Oryzias latipes: one gene and its partners. The protein of the gene in region 2 purifies or fractionates together with the protein of the main gene of each other region. This does not show direct contact. Links are inferred from orthologs where the notes say so. Each region holds a gene or a part of one and is shown on either strand. Other genes may lie near its edges.

The links.
Region 1: the proteins of snrnp70 (region 2) and snrnp200 fractionate together in Homo sapiens (co-fractionation; 3 studies listed by BioGRID, with this or other methods). This does not show direct contact. The link is inferred for Oryzias latipes from reciprocal best matches to the Homo sapiens genes SNRNP70 and SNRNP200.
Region 3: the proteins of snrnp70 (region 2) and mrps14 purify together in Homo sapiens (affinity purification with mass spectrometry; 3 studies listed by BioGRID and IntAct, with this or other methods). This does not show direct contact. The link is inferred for Oryzias latipes from reciprocal best matches to the Homo sapiens genes SNRNP70 and MRPS14.

Annotation. Positions count from the first base shown.
Region 1 is NC_019867.2:18,374,881-18,380,614, reverse strand, and holds the start of snrnp200 (U5 small nuclear ribonucleoprotein 200 kDa helicase), read left to right. Parts: upstream 1-1,266; coding exon 1,267-1,311; intron 1,312-2,016; coding exon 2,017-2,180; intron 2,181-2,478; coding exon 2,479-2,650; intron 2,651-2,737; coding exon 2,738-2,930; intron 2,931-3,024; coding exon 3,025-3,080; intron 3,081-3,234; coding exon 3,235-3,333; intron 3,334-3,416; coding exon 3,417-3,569; intron 3,570-3,649; coding exon 3,650-3,749; intron 3,750-3,842; coding exon 3,843-3,979; intron 3,980-4,052; coding exon 4,053-4,130; intron 4,131-4,264; coding exon 4,265-4,438; intron 4,439-4,530; coding exon 4,531-4,668; intron 4,669-4,757; coding exon 4,758-4,913; intron 4,914-5,015; coding exon 5,016-5,186; intron 5,187-5,257; coding exon 5,258-5,451; intron 5,452-5,528; coding exon 5,529-5,652; intron 5,653-5,734. UniProt on the Homo sapiens protein: Catalyzes the ATP-dependent unwinding of U4/U6 RNA duplices, an essential step in the assembly of a catalytically active spliceosome. Plays a role in pre-mRNA splicing as a core component of precatalytic, catalytic and postcatalytic spliceosomal complexes.
Region 2 is NC_019866.2:24,779,463-24,785,177, reverse strand, and holds the start of snrnp70 (U1 small nuclear ribonucleoprotein 70 kDa), read right to left. Parts: upstream 3,882-5,715; 5' UTR 3,677-3,881; intron 3,317-3,676; 5' UTR 3,311-3,316; coding exon 3,164-3,310; intron 3,090-3,163; coding exon 3,027-3,089; intron 1,903-3,026; coding exon 1,848-1,902; intron 1,766-1,847; coding exon 1,701-1,765; intron 1,634-1,700; coding exon 1,571-1,633; intron 1,347-1,570; coding exon 1,265-1,346; intron 1-1,264. UniProt on the Homo sapiens protein: Component of the spliceosomal U1 snRNP, which is essential for recognition of the pre-mRNA 5' splice-site and the subsequent assembly of the spliceosome. SNRNP70 binds to the loop I region of U1-snRNA.
Region 3 is NC_019875.2:24,412,151-24,417,364, forward strand, and holds mrps14 (28S ribosomal protein S14, mitochondrial), read right to left. Parts: upstream 3,073-5,214; 5' UTR 3,019-3,072; coding exon 2,950-3,018; intron 2,015-2,949; coding exon 1,850-2,014; intron 1,663-1,849; coding exon 1,480-1,662; 3' UTR 1,312-1,479; downstream 1-1,311. Other genes in the region: cacybp (calcyclin-binding protein), read right to left, coding at 714-731.

The DNA of each region.
Region 1 (5,734 bases), on a different chromosome or scaffold from region 2:
TATGTGGGTACCATCACATAGGTGGTGGAGGGAAATGAAATAGCTGATTTTTGTGCAAAGCAGGCGTTGAAACGGTGCGTGGAGATAGAAATTTCGTTGTTAAAAGGCGTATTATAGAAGACTGGCAGAAACAATGTGAAAGGGAGTGGAAAGAACAACATCTATTCAGTATACAAGACAAAGTAGGGAAACGTATCCATCTTACATCAAACACCAGAGATCAAATAGAAACAGAAAATATCTTTATTGTCATTGTACATGTATAACGAAATTACAGTGCAATTTCTTCCGGTGGAATAAAAAAAAAAAAGTCAAATAAAAATAAACTAAAACTGCGAAACAAGACAATATAAGATAAAAAAAATGTATTAAAAATTTACAAAAATATAAAAAGGAGGTTACATGTTGTCAAGGTATTGCACGCTTCCCTAATAAATTAACTTTATTTAGCAGCGTTTAAGGCCACGATGGCTCTCGGATAAAAGCTATTTTTTAATCTGTTTGTCCTTGTTTTAATTGTCCTGTATCTTCTGCCCGAAGGCAGCAGCCGTTCAAATCATGATATCACGATCATGGATGGGACACACGGCTTTAAATACTACACTAGATTTACTAGGGAAACATCCCACTGGACTGTGTGAATGCGGGAAAGGGGAAGAATCAGTGGAGCACATTTTGTGTTGCTGAATTATATTGGGAAGAAAGGTGGCAGCTGGAGGATAGTGTACCATTGCCAGAGGAAGAGGGGTAGAGTTTGATGAGGCTTTTGGGAGGGGGGCAGAATTTCAATGTTGGTCTATTGAGGAGAATATAGGGTTTTTTGTTGTCTTTGTAGTCTTTGTAGTTGTCTTTTAGACCAGTTGTACCCCACTCCGACTCACACTCCAAGTAGGTGGCGACATTGCACCAGGTCGTTTGTGCCTCCCGCTATTAAGACCACAAGAAGAAGAAGGAGAAGAAGTTCTGCGCTAGAGGGCGCTGCTTCGTTTCTATTTCAGTTTTTCTCATCGTTTGACACCGGAAGAGGAAGACGATCGCTGTATGTTGTGCGCTCGTGCTAGCAGCAGAAGCATTGTTACGTAGGTGAAACGCTTTTTCGTGCGTGAAACTTGTAAAGACTTTGAAAGCTGGTTTATGTGTAAAGTCTGAACACCGTACCAATGCTCAGAGTTTTACCGTGAAGAAAGCAGAGCAAACTCAACTCCGTGGACCCGGCGGCCTGATTCAGAACGTGTGGTCAGACGACGTTGAAAGAACGGCTCCACCATGGCGGATGTTACCGCTCGTAGCCTGCAGTATGAGTACAAAGCGGTGAGTGAGGAATTCAACTAAGTTTCTGAAAATCTGTTTACATACTGACATGGAACAAATCAAGTCATTTAATATTTTTATTTTTATCTCGCCATCATGCGCGTGTAGCCGCTTCCTCGGTTAGCCACGACACTTTGCGCCAAAGAAAAACAATATATGACATGTTTCTAAATAAAATACGCTTACTGAAAAATTATCAATTTATGGAATAAACAAAGCAAAGTTACACTGCGAATGGCGTAACACTTCAAAAGTTAGTTTCCTTTTAACATTGTGGATAAACATCTGCGAATCGATACTTTCCTCGTCATCTAGATTTTTATTTAATGCAAACTATGATTTCGTACCCCCATAACTTTCTTAAAAATATATAGTTTAAATCATTTAAAAGGAAGATAATCCCAGTATTATTGTTGTTTCTATAAACAAATGTAGGAGGAGGAAACTGACTCGCTTATTTATTTGAGGTTGTGTGTATATTATGTGTATATAGTGTGTATGTCTTTTCACAACTTTGACTTTTGTTTTCTTTTTCAAATTGCTACTACCTGTAATACTTGAGGCATAATTAAAAGTATTTAGCAGGATTCTTAATTCATGAATTAAAAAAGGGGATAAATACAGTTGAAAGGGCTAAAGGGATTGTCTATTGCTGTACTGATAAATCACACCTTTTTTTTTCACCTTTTTTTTTTAACCTGGTAGAACTCAAACTTGGTGTTGCAAGCGGATCGCTCTTTGATTGACCGCACACGGAGAGATGAGCCCACCGGAGAGGTGCTGTCCCTGGTGGGGAAGCTGGAGGGGACCAAGATGGGTGACAAGGCTCAGAGGACCAGACCTCAGAACCTGGAAGACAGAAGAAACAAGTCAGTTCAGAATAACGCACACCAGGTTTTAGTTTACATTTGGCCGTGGCACTGTTGGCACCATAGGGTGCTTTGTCAAGCTGACAGTTGAGAATTTCAAGTAGAAAATGCTTTAGTTCTTGTGCAAAATGGTTAAACATAGATGAGATGGTTTGTATGATACTGTTGAAATAATTTACTAAATTTAATATTTTCATCTTGTTGGTGCATCAAAATTTGTTGAACTTGTTGTATTAAGATGTATTCATGTTAAAAGTAAAACACGCTAACTGGTTTTTTCCTTGTGCTGTTAACTTAGGAGACGAAAAAGAGATGAGGACAGGCATGACATCAACAAAATGAAAGGTTTTACCCTTCTGTCTGAAGGCATTGATGAAATGGTGGGCATTGTGTACAAGCCTAAAACCAAAGAAACCAGAGAGACTTATGAAGTGCTGCTAAGCTTCATCCATGCAGCTCTAGGAGATCAGGTGAGCCAATCAAATGTGGGCTCTTGTTCAAAATTGTGTTAAGTGCTGAAAGCTGATGTCCTGCCCCCCCTGTGCTGTTGTCTGCAGCCACGTGACATTTTGTGTGGAGCAGCTGATGAGGTACTAGCGGTACTGAAAAATGACAAAATCAGGGATAAAGAAAGGCGACGTGAAGTGGAGCAGCTTCTGGGACCTTCAGATGACACACGGTATCATGTGTTGGTCAATCTTGGAAAGAAGATCACAGACTATGGGGGAGACAAGGAATTGCAGAATATGGGTAACTTTTTGTGCATAAGATCTGTCACGTTTGTCTCTGAATCGATGGGTGTGCGTAACTGAAATAATCTGAACCCTTTGTTGTTTCTCCACAGATGACAACATTGATGATACGTATGGTGTCAATGTACAGTTTGAATCTGATGAGGAGGTGAGCTTTTTTTTGTCTTAAATTGATGGTTGTTCAACCAATTAAAGCTCAGCAATTATCAAATATTTTCTTGACTGAATTTTGATGAAAAGTTTGTATTCAGTCTTTGGGTTTCACAGTTTGAACCAGTTCCTGATCTTTACTTATTTTGTAGGAAGGGGATGAAAACCCGTTTGGTGAAGTGCAAGACGAGCAATCCGATGAAGACAGTGAGGGAGAGGAGGCGGTTGTGACCACCACACTCTCTGCCAATGTCAGTGGAACAGCTGCATCCTCGTCTTTTCCAGTGTCACATCTTCTCATTTGTTTCTCTAAAATCGCTTTTTCTTCATGTAGCTCGGCGAAACAGGTGACGTGATGACGGTGAAGAAAAAAGATTTACATCCTCGGGACATCGATGCCTTCTGGCTCCAGCGTCAACTCAGCCGTTTCTATGACGATGCCATCGTGTCACAGAAGAAAGCGGACGAAGTCTTAGAAATCCTCAAAGTATGTTTACCGCCTTGCCTGCTCACAGTAGATTCTCTAATCATTCCCAGGTGCGTTGATGTCTCCTTTTTGTGTCACAGACAGCCAGTGATGACAGAGAATGTGAGAACCAGCTGGTGTTGCTGTTGGGTTTCAACACTTTTGATTTCATTAAAATCCTCCGTCAGCATCGGCGCATGAGTAAGAGAAATGATCTAAATCAGATTCATTTTCTGTTTTTTGTTTTTGTATGTTTGTTTGTTTATAGCTGCTTTTTCCATCTCTAACCCACAGTTCAGTATTGTACAATGCTAGCAAGCGCTCAGAGTGAGGCAGAAAAGGAGAGGATCATTGGAAAGATGGAGTCTGATCCGGAGCTGTCAAAGATTCTCTACAAGCTGCAAGAGACGGAAAAGGAGGACATCATTCGAGTTAGATTTGTTGTTTGTTAAAGAAACATTTAGTCTTTTGGTTTGTATAATAAAAGTAATATTTTTTTATTAGGAAGAACAATCTCGTAGAGAGCGAGTGAGGAAGTCTCGTGTTGATGACTTGGAAGCGATGGACACTGACCATGGAGAGGTAAATTGTACAAGGAGTCAGCAGTTGGAATCTTTCACTGCCTTTTATCACTTTATATGTATATAAGAAGTTACGTTGGTTTGTTTTCTCTGAAGATGCCATCAAGAGTTTCGTGTTGTTCTTGTTTCCTGCAGTCAGTGATGCCTCGACAGATTTTGGACCTGGAAGACCTGACCTTCACCCAGGGGAGTCATTTCATGGCTAACAAACGCTGCCAGCTCCCAGACGGCTCTTTTCGCAAACAGCGCAAAGGTTATGAAGAAGTTCACGTTCCCGCCCTGAAACCCAAAGCTTTCGCTGACAACGAGGTTCGTCTGTTGCGTCTTTTGTTGTTAAGTACAAAACTTTCATCTTTTAAACGCAGCAGTGTCTGAAATTTTGGTTGCTTATCTTTCATCAGGTACTTGTTTCCATCGACAAGTTGCCCAAGTATGCTCAGGCTGGGTTTGAAGGTTTCAAAACTCTAAATCGAATCCAGAGTAAACTGTTCAAGTCTGCAATGGACACAGACGAAAACCTTCTAGTGTGTGCTCCCACGGTGAGTGAGCCCTGCACAAGCCAAAGGCGGCGGGAAAGTCATCCTGAACTCCGTTGTCAACATTAATCCTGGTATTGTTTTGTGTACAGGGAGCTGGTAAGACCAATGTTGCCCTAATGGCAATGTTAAGAGAAATTGGAAAGCATATAAACATGGACGGCACGATCAACGTGGACGATTTCAAAATCATCTACATTGCACCCATGCGCTCGCTTGTACAAGAGATGGTGGGAAGTTTTAGTAAGGTAAGCTGCATGCCCTTCCTTAAAAGCGTTGATTTCATGCATCAAGGAGTATCGCAAGCTTCAGGAGAGGGTTTTAGAGGTGACGGCTTTCCTTTTTTGCAGCGATTGGCAAGTTACGGCATCACCGTGTCTGAGCTGACAGGAGACCACCAACTCTGTAAAGAGGAGATCAACGCCACTCAGATCATTGTCTGCACCCCAGAAAAGTGGGATATCATTACTCGGAAAGGGGGAGAACGTACTTACACTCAGCTAGTGCGCCTCATCATCATTGTAAGTTGATTTAGAAAGGTATTATTCATTTCATTTTTGACAATCAGAATAACCAAAATAATTCGATATAGGATGAAATTCACCTGCTGCACGATGACCGTGGTCCTGTGCTGGAATCCCTGATCGCAAGGACCATTCGCAATGTGGAGCTGACCCAAGACGATGTCCGCCTGTTGGGTCTCAGTGCCACACTACCCAACTACGAAGATGTGGCAACGTGCCTGCGCGTGGATCCTGCAAAGGGACTGTTCTACTTTGACAACAGGTTTGTTTCAAAGCAGAAACTGCATGTGTGTGTATTCTCTTAACTCAATTCTTGTGCTTTTTTATTTTTGTTTGTAGTTTCCGCCCTGTGCCCCTGGAGCAGACTTATGTTGGCATCACAGAGAAGAAAGCCATCAAGCGTTTCCAGATCATGAACGAGATTGTTTATGAAAAAATCATGGAGCATGCTGGGAAGAACCAGGTGCGCCTTTCTGTTTGTTTTTTGTCATTGAGACAAACATTTTAATCTGAAATTCCTTTAAATCCTGGCTCCAATTTATCAC
Region 2 (5,715 bases):
CAGCAGCGATGCAAAAGACGCTGATGGAACTAAGCTCTGGAAAGAGCTCAATAAGTTATTGAACGTCGTGGCACACATCTACTTAAGACAGACTGGAGATTCAACCTGCAGGTCCTTTTCTCTTTGCTTGCCTCGCTGATGTTTTGTGTTTGGTAGGAAAGGAAATATCTGCTGTTTTGTTGTTTTTTTAAGCTGTTAACTTCGCACGTGAATGGCATCATTTTTAAAAAGTCGCAGTTGAACATAGACGGCATGAAAAAGCACCTCGTCAGCAAAACCAAAGACTGAACTGTTGCTTAACAGTCACAGCTAGGCAGAAGTGAAAGCCCTGAAGAGGTTCCAAATTTCACAGAATTTGCCGGATCCAATCATGACAGTTTTTATCATTGAAGCTCCAAAAACATAAGACTATTCATGCATGTGTGAAAACTCAGCAGCCTTCTTCCAAACACAGTTCCAAACTACCACAGAACTTTCTGCTCTGAATACCAATAAAACCATTTTGCCTTTTGACTGCTGCCCCATGAGCAGAATCTAGAACCTCCAGTTTTCCCCTCAGTCTAGTCTTTTGCTGTTCTGGTCTAAAGCAGAACAGGATCTGGGCTGACCTTTGGTGCAGACGATGTCTCGCCTGCACCAAAGGTCAGCATAGGTCACCAGGTCAGACCTGCAGGCTCTGTGTGAACCAGACCAGGAAGCAAAACTCAAGCATTGGGTCGAGTCTGGACTATGTTTACATTTGGTGGCATCCGGATCAGGAGAATTCTTATTCCAACATGACCAGGGTTGAAGACCACCACTCAAACTGACAGACAAACTCAAGACTGAATGATTAAAGGTGACGAGTGATTGGCAGAAAGCCTGCTCCGTGTTTGGTGTCCACCTTGAGCTTACCATCACAGTCCCACCGGGAGAGCGGCTCTTCCACTGAACTACAACTCCTCACACTTAAAGACAATGTGCCCTTTGACAAGCAAACATGTTCAGGTTCACAGATCAAACATTTCTGTTACTCCACCCCGACGCCTCCAATAAATGACTCCTCCCCCCTTTAAACGCAACTGTTAGTCCACCGGCGACACATCGAGCAGACCCCCCCCCCCACACACACACACACACACGTCAGACGAGCAGCAGACATGGATCTGGTGAGCAGAGCTCAGTTTGCTGGTCTCCTTACAGAAGCATCAGTGACGAGCAGTGCTCTGATCCACACACACCAACACAGACTGGCTTTGGTGGCCGATGCCTCAGCCGTACTCACAGTGCATGTCTCGCTCGTGCTCATACTCTATGAAGGCGTAGCCGCGGGGCTTCCCTGTTCCCTTGTTGTAGACGATGTAAATCTGAAAAGAAAAACTCCTGGTGAGACTCGGCAGAGCGGAGGCAGCAGACATGCAGTCAGCGCACGACGACACGCACAAAGCGGCGCCAAAACGCTTCACGCACGGCTCTTTACTTTTTTTTATAGTATTTTGAAGAGCCAGGAGAATTTTCTCACATTGTAAAGACAAAAGGGTTCATGTTTTGAAGAAAATCTGGACACAGAAAAATAATAATCAATAGCTACCCGTTTAATGGGGCCATAGACTTCAAACTCACGGCGAAGTTTGGACTCTGTCGTATCATAATTCTGAAACAAAAAGGTTTTAATTACCAGATGTGAACAAGGAGTGAGAAGAACCAAGACAAATACTCACCACTCGTGCCACAAACAGAGTCTTGAAGGCATCCCCCTGAGCATTGGGGTCATTATGGGGGTCCCCTGACATGGAACAAACAGGAAGGATGAGCACAAAGCTTTTCACCGTTTGAGGAGAACGGCGTGAAGAAAGTGACAAACTCACAGAGCTTCAGTTCTGTCTCCACTTCTCCCTGTCGCCTCTCAATCTTCTCTCTCCTCTGGAAACAGAAAAGAAAATGGTGACGGCCAACCGCAGAGCCTCCAACAGCAGAGCATCAGCACAGAGCTGACATAATCCCGCACTTGGTTTCTTGTCTGCTGCCAGCATGCACCTGTGCTGGGCTCCTGCCTGGTATAATATTTCTATAGACTTGAGAGGTTTTCACCGAGGCAGAAAATGCTGAATGAAGGAGTTAGGACTGTAATTCAACTACCCCTCCTTTGAGAATCTGCATTCATTAGGTCTGTGCTTCACAGCCAAACTCCTGCTTCAGTCAATTCACAAGTTCACAAATAAATTTCCTTTATGGCTCAAGACGCTCAACTGAAACGTTACAACCCCAACATAACATTATCTGTGCAACAAAAATGGCGAGCGATAAAGGAGCTATCCAGGCGTTGAGTTTCTCAAACAACAATACTAACAAATGCAATTTTAATCCTAATTTTCTGTATACATGCCTTCCATCGTTATCTACGCAGCACAATCAGAGATCCAAACAGTAACGACTGGTGGACGCTGCAGCACAGACAGGATCAGGTTAGAGGTTTATATAGTAAAGAGATGGTTGAGTGTGCCATGAGAAATTACTCAATTTCACCTATTTGTTCTAAAAAAAAAAACATTTTCCATCGCCAGAATATTAGCTCTACGTTCATCGAAATACGCCCAGGTTTCAGTTGGGAGTACTACAGATCACAGAAGACTTTTACTTCCTATTTAAGACACTTTGATTAAAAAAAATGTCTGCACCACTACTGTGCAGCAACTTAGGCCAATGGCTCTTATTTTGGAAAAAGTTTGTAAAACACCCCCAGTTCCTCACCCTGACAAAATACCAGCTAACAATGGTGGAAGTGTAGCTTCAAGCAGGATCCGGTGTCAGACCGTGTAAAAAGTGCATCCAATAATGAAGCCCGGAGATTTGCATCAGTGTCACAGAGTTTACTACATCTCCCATGATTCATTGGGTTGATGTGACAGAATCTGTGCTACTGCCAGCTGCCATAAAGCAAAACAAACGCAAATATGAAATCTTCTGGATGAAAGCAGAGATAAACCGTTTATTTATCCATCAGGTTCTGTATTTGAGCACATGTGCAAAGGGGGGAGGAAACTCACCTTTCTCTCCAGGCGTTCCTCGCGGGTCTCGGCTCTGGTTGGTGGGGGGGCATCTCTAGGATCCTGGTGGGAAACAGTAGGAAGGTGAGACAGAGGCATCGGGGGGACGGAGGCTCGCACGTGACAGCGACGCTCACCTCGAAGTGTCTGATGAAGGGGGCGATGCCGCTGTACGGCTGGTTGTGATGCTTCTCGTGGGGCAGCTTCTCCAGCTGAGGCAGGAACGGAATCGGGTCCCGGGGGGCGAACAGGGCCAACAGGTTCGGCGGGAGGAACTGCGTCATCTTTCACTTGATCGATAAGGAAAACATGCATGATATCAGACACGGATCTGCCGCAACACAATGAAGCAGCGAAACTAGCTGTCAGGGCAGCTAGCTAGCTAGCTAGCTAGCCGTAATACCCGTACTAGCTAGCTAGCTTCACGCGCTTATTGTTCACTTCCCCACAGGACGGGGGACGCGTTCAACGCATTTCATGCATCCAGAAGTAGAACATCAGGAACCCCCTCCCACAGTAGTACACGTTATGGTCTGCGTACAAGTTAAGAGTTTGGCCGTCCGGAGGCAGCCGGAGGCGTCTGCTCCGCTCGTGGGATGTAGCGCTCCCGTTAGCATGGAGCTAACCACTAACTGCGCCCTTACACTCACCTTCTCTCCTCCAGAGTCCAGCAGCTTTTAGTTCATGGACCTGAAGGAGGAGCGGGACTGTCCGCGGGTTCGGTGGCTCAACGTAGAACCGCCAAAAAGAGACTCCGTGAAGATAAAAATGCTGGAAATGGAGCTGAAAACAACGTGGAGATAGCTGGCTGCGTACTGCGGCTGCTCGGCCTGTTGAAAATATAAAATGGCGGGGGGGACCGCCGCGTGAACGTACGTCTTTTGACGTAACTTACGTGATGACGTCAGGACGCCGTCCAATGAGTTTATTATTGACAATGTGATTTCCATGTGATTTTTCCCATTTTGCTCTGAATTTTATTGAAATAAATATAAGTTTCCTTTGACATTGTTAAAAGTTTATTTTTTTGTTAAAAAAATAAATAACTTGTTAAGTGAGAATCACTATGGGTTTGGTTCTAATAGGTCTACAGGTTTTGCTACAATGAAAGTAGTTGAAGAAATTTCAACAGCAATTGACAAAAAGAAAAATACATTAAAAGTTATCATTGATTTAAAGAAGGAATTTGACACCATAGATCATTCTATCTCGATTTCTAAACTGCATGCGTATGGGGTTAGAGCAATCGCCCACCAGTTATTTACAAAACAGACAATACAGTATGTGCAGTTTGGAGGTAATAAGTCTGATCTCATGAATATTATTTGTGGACTTCCACAAGGTTCAATTATAAATGTTTGGGGTATTTCTAAGTTGTTGCAGTTTGTTTTATTTGGACATGAAGACAAATTTCTCTGTTCAGGGATAATCTAAAACCCTAACTTAAAAGTGTTAAAAAGGAAATGAAACTTAAAATGTGGTTTGATTATAATTAACAAAAACAAAGTTTATGGTATTTGGTAATAAAGAAAAAACAGAAGTGGCTTTATCCATTGACAACATAAATATAGAGCAGGTGTCTGAATTTAAATTTTAGGGGTTATGTTGGATGACAAATGAACATGGAAATCTCATATTTTATGTAAAAAATAAAGTAACCAAGACCCTTTTTGTTTTGAACAAATCCAAGTATATTTTACCATGTCAGAGTGTGCATGTGTTATATTGCTCTTTGGTTTTACCGTACTTTACATTTTGTATTGAAGTGTGGGGGAACACAGATTAAACTAATATAATACCCTTAATTTTATTACAAAAGAGTCTCTGCTTCAGCTGGTCCCAGACCTGCTCTATGGGGTTCAGGTCAAGGGTCATTGCTGGTCAGACCATATGAGCCTAGAGACTGGTTGTGATCATTCTGGCAGCATGTGGTGGAGCGTTATCATCCAAAACTGCAAAACTCTCACACAAAATAACTCAATAGGAGTGAGATTATATGAATTTGCTTTTTCCAACTCCTTTTTTTCCTAGCACTAAATCACTTTCTACTTGACTATTTAGTTAATAATCACTATATTTAAATGTGTCTTAAGTGTGTCTTTGTTTCTGTTTGTTTGTTTGTTTGAATCTATGCAGTTGATTATCTCTGTAAGGAGTTTGATACATCCGTGTGATTTTTCTCTTGTATTGACTACAATTAATACTTGAAAGAAACCAAACCAAATCAATCAATCAACCAACCAACCTATCTACCTATGAACAACTGACTGTATGAAAACTGGACTGAGTGACTCGTCCCCCTGCGGTTCCAAACAAGAGTTACCTGCTGGTTCAAAGAAGCCAAATCTGATAGACATCTACAGAGAAATGGTTTGTGTGGATTTGTCTACTTTGTGCTATTCTATGTTTCATGTCTTAATCTGTAATGTTTACTCTTCAATGAGGTCAGTGGTTTGGACGGATCTCCTTCACCTGCCTTTCGAATACAGAAATAAATGAGCTCTTTTGCTAATTCTAGCATCTATATGTTGTAGTCCTGCTAAAACATTGATGAATTTGTTTTAACCTAAATAAATTATAAAACAGCTATAACTCTGTCATTAAAATCGTCAGGATAACCATTCTCGTTACCTTTTTTAACATAAAATGCCATTTGTTTCACTATATTCTTACTTTATCGCATGCTGGA
Region 3 (5,214 bases), on a different chromosome or scaffold from region 2:
CCTTTACTTAAGTCAGTTAAGAACCAATTCAAATGTGTGAACTGCTAATGATGAGATCTGCAAGTCCCTTATGGAAATGTTTTAACGTACACTGTTCGATTAAACACATTTATGCAAAGACATGATTAAGAAATTCACCTAAAAACATAAAAAAGCATTAATTAAAAGCAAAACTCACATGATTTTAATCAAAATATAAAAACCAAAGCAAAGCATGGCTCTATTATGACTTAAGTTTAATTATCACGACATATAATAAAATAAACCTCAACATTTACGAGTAAGGATATTCAATAGCATCCAATAGGAATTGAGATATTGTCGCTTTCAATCGTTTTTCTATCATTTAAAATGCTATAAAGCAACTCCGAAGGAAGTGTAGCGCAGAACCCGCGAGCGTGATGTTGCTAGAAGGTTCTAGTAAACTTCATGAGCACAACTGAACGTCAATCATCACAGGGACTTTTCTCGCCCTCAACGTTTGTCACTGTGACAAACTAAACAAGCTTTTCAAACAATCGTCTAAAAAAATATACAGACAGAAAGAAACAAAGCAAAGCATACAAAAAAATCCGTTAAGGGCAAGCGGCTAACCGACAGCTAACACAACACATCGCCCAACTATTGAGACCGACGTAAATTTAACAAACTCATCCAAATAGACAATGATTTTTTCTTCTAAAATAATACTTTGGCCAAGACATGTTTCTTACCTGTTCCGTTAGATCCATTCTGGTTCTTCAAATTCCACTCAGTTTTGTCAAGCAGCACAGCTCTTCGCAGTGAGGAGTTCTAACAATTTGGTTTGGCCCTCTTTAGAATTATTTCCTGCTGTTAAAAGTTCCTTTAATCTCATTACTGCCACCCAGTGGTTGGAATAAGTAAGATCAGAACAATACACAACAGTAAGATATATTTATTTTAAATTTAGCAGATTTTACGTACTGTAAATTACTAGTGGCAATATTTATACTCACGAGTTATTTTTTATTTTATTTTAAAGCAGCTATTTCTATTTAGGGTGAGTATATGACCTGACAACAAAAACATTTAGCAACTTGTATCACTGGGACACTTTATTTATTTTTTTTTAGAAATACCATCATGTTCAAATTAAACACCATAAATTAATCCTTTAATAACACTGTGAAGCTTCAAACAGCCGTGTTGAAAATTACACAGCACATGAATGCTTAATGATGGCTTTAACTTTTCACATCAGTAGATCATTCAGAAGCATTTTTCTCCACAATAAACACAGTGTTTGTGTTTATTACCACCACATAAAAAAGAAGGAAAAAAAAAACAGGACACTTTTGTACAACAATATTTATTATGTTTTGTTTTTTTTTACTCTTAGTCGAGCTTAAATACTCAATATTTGCATTACTTCTTTAAGTTCACACAACATTCTAGAAATCTGCAACCTGCATTGCTTTGTTAACACACAATCTTACAGACGAATCCAATAGACCACATTCACCACCTTGCCCTGAGAATCCCTGACATCTGGTTGTGGTCAGCTAGGTGTCGGAATACAATTCGACTCAGTCGCCACCTCCGCTTCACTCCTCGGGGCCGGGAAGTCATCACACACCTGTTGCGTATCCTCACAGGGCAGCTATCTCTCGGGAGTGCTGCAATTTCTTTGTCTGCTATCTCCTATGAAGACAATTAGACAGGGTTTAGGGATTGTCCGCTACTGGTGTACTTTCAGCTGTTTGACATATATTGTGTGTGCAACTAGAACTTTTGTAAAATCGTGACTCTTTAAATAATAAGAGCATACTGTCAAACTTATGGTGTGGCACAATGAGGAACTAGTTGTAAATAGGAAGCTGGAGCCTACCTGAAGCTCTTTAGGCAGGATAGTATTCTTTCTTAATGCATTGATCCGTAGCCTTTCATCTGCATAATCGAAGGCCATCTGTCTTCTTTTGACGTCCCTCAGCATCCTCCAGTCAACATAATAGCTTCTCATCTGCTCCACAGCTCCCCAGCAGCTTCTTAGTGCCTGCACACAACACACATCAAGTTTCTGACAGGTTTCTCTCCATTTACCACACATTTGCAATCTATTTTCTCTGGTTTTAAGTTTTCACTTGATCTTAGTTCTGTAATGCAAGAGGTGCTTGACAAAATATTGTAAAAGAAGTCTGTTTGCGATCATCAGTTTAAAAATAATTCCTTCTCATTTTGCGGGCTTGAAACAAGTGGTCCAATAATCTCTTTTTTTATTGCTTTGGCACAGTTAAACTAACACTGTTATAGCAGCTTATAGAGTACACCAAAACAAGATAGTAGGTCATGTAAATCGGACCATCTTTAAAAAAACAGTAATGTAAAAGATTAAAAAAATGTAAATGTTTTAGGCTTTTTAAGACCAAGAATATAAAATTTAGTATTACAAATTGACCACTGACAGAGAGAAGTGTATTTGGTTCACTGCTTCATCATTGGTTTAATGAATACAAATATCTCTACTTTTTCCATAAATGTTCTTAACGTGTTTTTTTTAATCATGTTTGTCATAATGTCGGATAAGTCAATGTCGAACCCTGATGCAAACGCAGGCTCTGACTAATTGGTTTATCAGAAATGTAATGAGAGCTGCCTGTACCGTCTGCAGAAAACGCAGCAAAGGGAGAGGTCATAATAATGTCAGTCGATGTTCACAATATGTTAACTTTATACAAAAATGTCAGTCTCTATTCTACAACAGTTTTAAGATAAAGTTACTCTCAATTACTGTCTATCCTCCTCAACACAATTTGAACAGTAAAGGAATTTATTATTAAAGTTAAATTTCGCAGCAATTTTATGTCTCCGAGTTAGCTAACATAGTCCAGGTCAAAAAGAGTTTTTGCACCCTTTATTTGAAACTACATGGGGCGATTTTACAAAAAAAAAAAAAAAACATAGGTCAAAACGTTAATACGTGACCTTTACCTGATTTGGTGAGAAGACTGTAGAATAAACGGCATTTAACCCCAAACATGTTAGCCGGCGGGCCGCCATATTGGTTTAAGAGTGTCCTCTTCACGACGTGAGCAGGATATGACCATGGTGAGGCTGAAAGTGTCGCCACCTAACGACCAGGAGGGCGCACAACAAAAACCAGAGCCGTTGTAATCTTTAAGAATTAAATAACCATGACGGTAAAATATGTCTGAAAAATGCACACTAACCAATAATATGTTCTTAAATTTTTATTGATAGTCATAGCTCAATTTTCAACTATTAAGTTAGGTTTAGTGGGAATATAAAACATATAAAAACATGTTGATTCTACATTTCTTTTTAATGTTTTGAATTGGAAAGCAAGCTTTACTATGATAGAAACTTGTCAAAACACATTTAAACAACACATTTTATGGTGAAGATAAGAAAAAATTACAAGACCAATGTGACAATCCTACCAGTAGGTGGCAGTGTAGCGCTTCTGTTTTCAAACCTTCACAAATCTCAAGTTATTATAATTTTGTAATGAAAAAATGATAAATACATTTCATTAAACTTAAATTCAGCAGTTTCGTATTATTATTATTATTATTGTTATTATTGGTATTATTTGGTATCCAACAGAATCCCAAACATCTGAGCTTCAGCAGGATGCCCAGCTGTTTTAAAACCTTGAAGGGTAAAAAAAAAAAAAATACATGGATGCAGATAAACAACAGAAGCTGATTCTATTAAACAATTCTCGTTATTTTAGAGCCTGTAGGGGATGCGTTCATGGTTAAGTATTAACACATGAGGTTTGGGAGTGCTTCCTCTATAAAAAGGAACATTTTGTGGCTGTAAAAGCTGCAAAGGAATTTGAAAATTGAACAAGAGAAACCAGTTCATCTCTGTTGTCTGCAACTGACTACATTTTACACTTTTCATTGAGGATGTAGCAACGTGTCAAATATTTTTTTTTATTTGGATTTAAATGAAATCTAAATGTCTGACTTAAGTTTGCCATAATGGCAAAAAATATTTTATAAGGAAGTTACTGGTTCTTGAAATGGACAAATATTCTTATTAAAATTAAAAAAATAACGGCATCGTCTAGAATAATATATAGTTTATTTGCTGTTGTTTTGTTCCTCAAGGTCTAGTACTCAGTTCAGACTTTTAAAGGAACTATTTTGGGTTCACCAAGAAGACCAGAAGTTTGTGAAGTTATTCCTTATTATGTAAATATTGAGGACAGCCATGGGTCTTAGATGCATCCCTCAAGGACAGAGAAACAAGAGATTTTCGACAAATTTTCTTAAACCTTTGAAAGCAGGAACTGGGTTTTGCTGTGGTTGATTAAAAGTGTACCTCTCTGCTGCAAGCCTTTCAGCATCCTTGGTTTAAACTTTTGATTTATCCCTATTTTTAAGCCCTATTTGGGTAAACAATCCTTTATCTGATTAAATTCAGCAACAGCATCAGACAAAATACAAAGAACATCTGTACACAGACAGAACAAGCAGCTTTGAGGATGTGTCGTTTGATGCTTTCAAGCATCCCGCTGTGGCTTCAAAACATATGAATGTTCAAAGGAGAACATTTCCCCAAACTGGGACTTCTCAAGGTCCAAGACTAAAGTACCTTGTACTCAAATCTTACACCACAATTGTGCACTGATGTTCCAAGACCTCAGAAAGACGTTTTTACACTAAAGTCACACTATGTCAGACTGGTGTGTTTGTGAGTTCAGCGGAGATTACTCAGACTGCTAACCTCATCTATAAAACTGACAGCAGTCAAGTGAGGACGGTCAGCACCGTGACACCATGTAACTTAGGGTGGAAGGACAGGTCACAAACCACAGCATCTTGCAGAACAGACTAAACAAACAAGTAATGCACAGTTTCACTCTCTCAGAAGATACGTTTACATTCCTCCACACGTGGGGCCAGTTGGCTTCGACAGAGAATGAAATCCAAAGTATATTTTGATCAACAATTACAGCTTCACAGTGGGATATATGATCATGACAACCTTTTCTAAGCAATATAATGAATGTAATTTTCCAGTTTCCATTCCACAGTGATAGCAAATTAACTGAATGGGTTGTGTACTGCACGTGTGCAAAAACACAACATTTAAATGCACGCACTCTCTTAATGATACATTTAAACAGAAATGTAATCATATTAAGTAACCCTTGTGCTACCTTAGATGACCCCACCCTTACATTGACGTGTTCTCCCTACTATGACAAAGGTGGATAAAGGT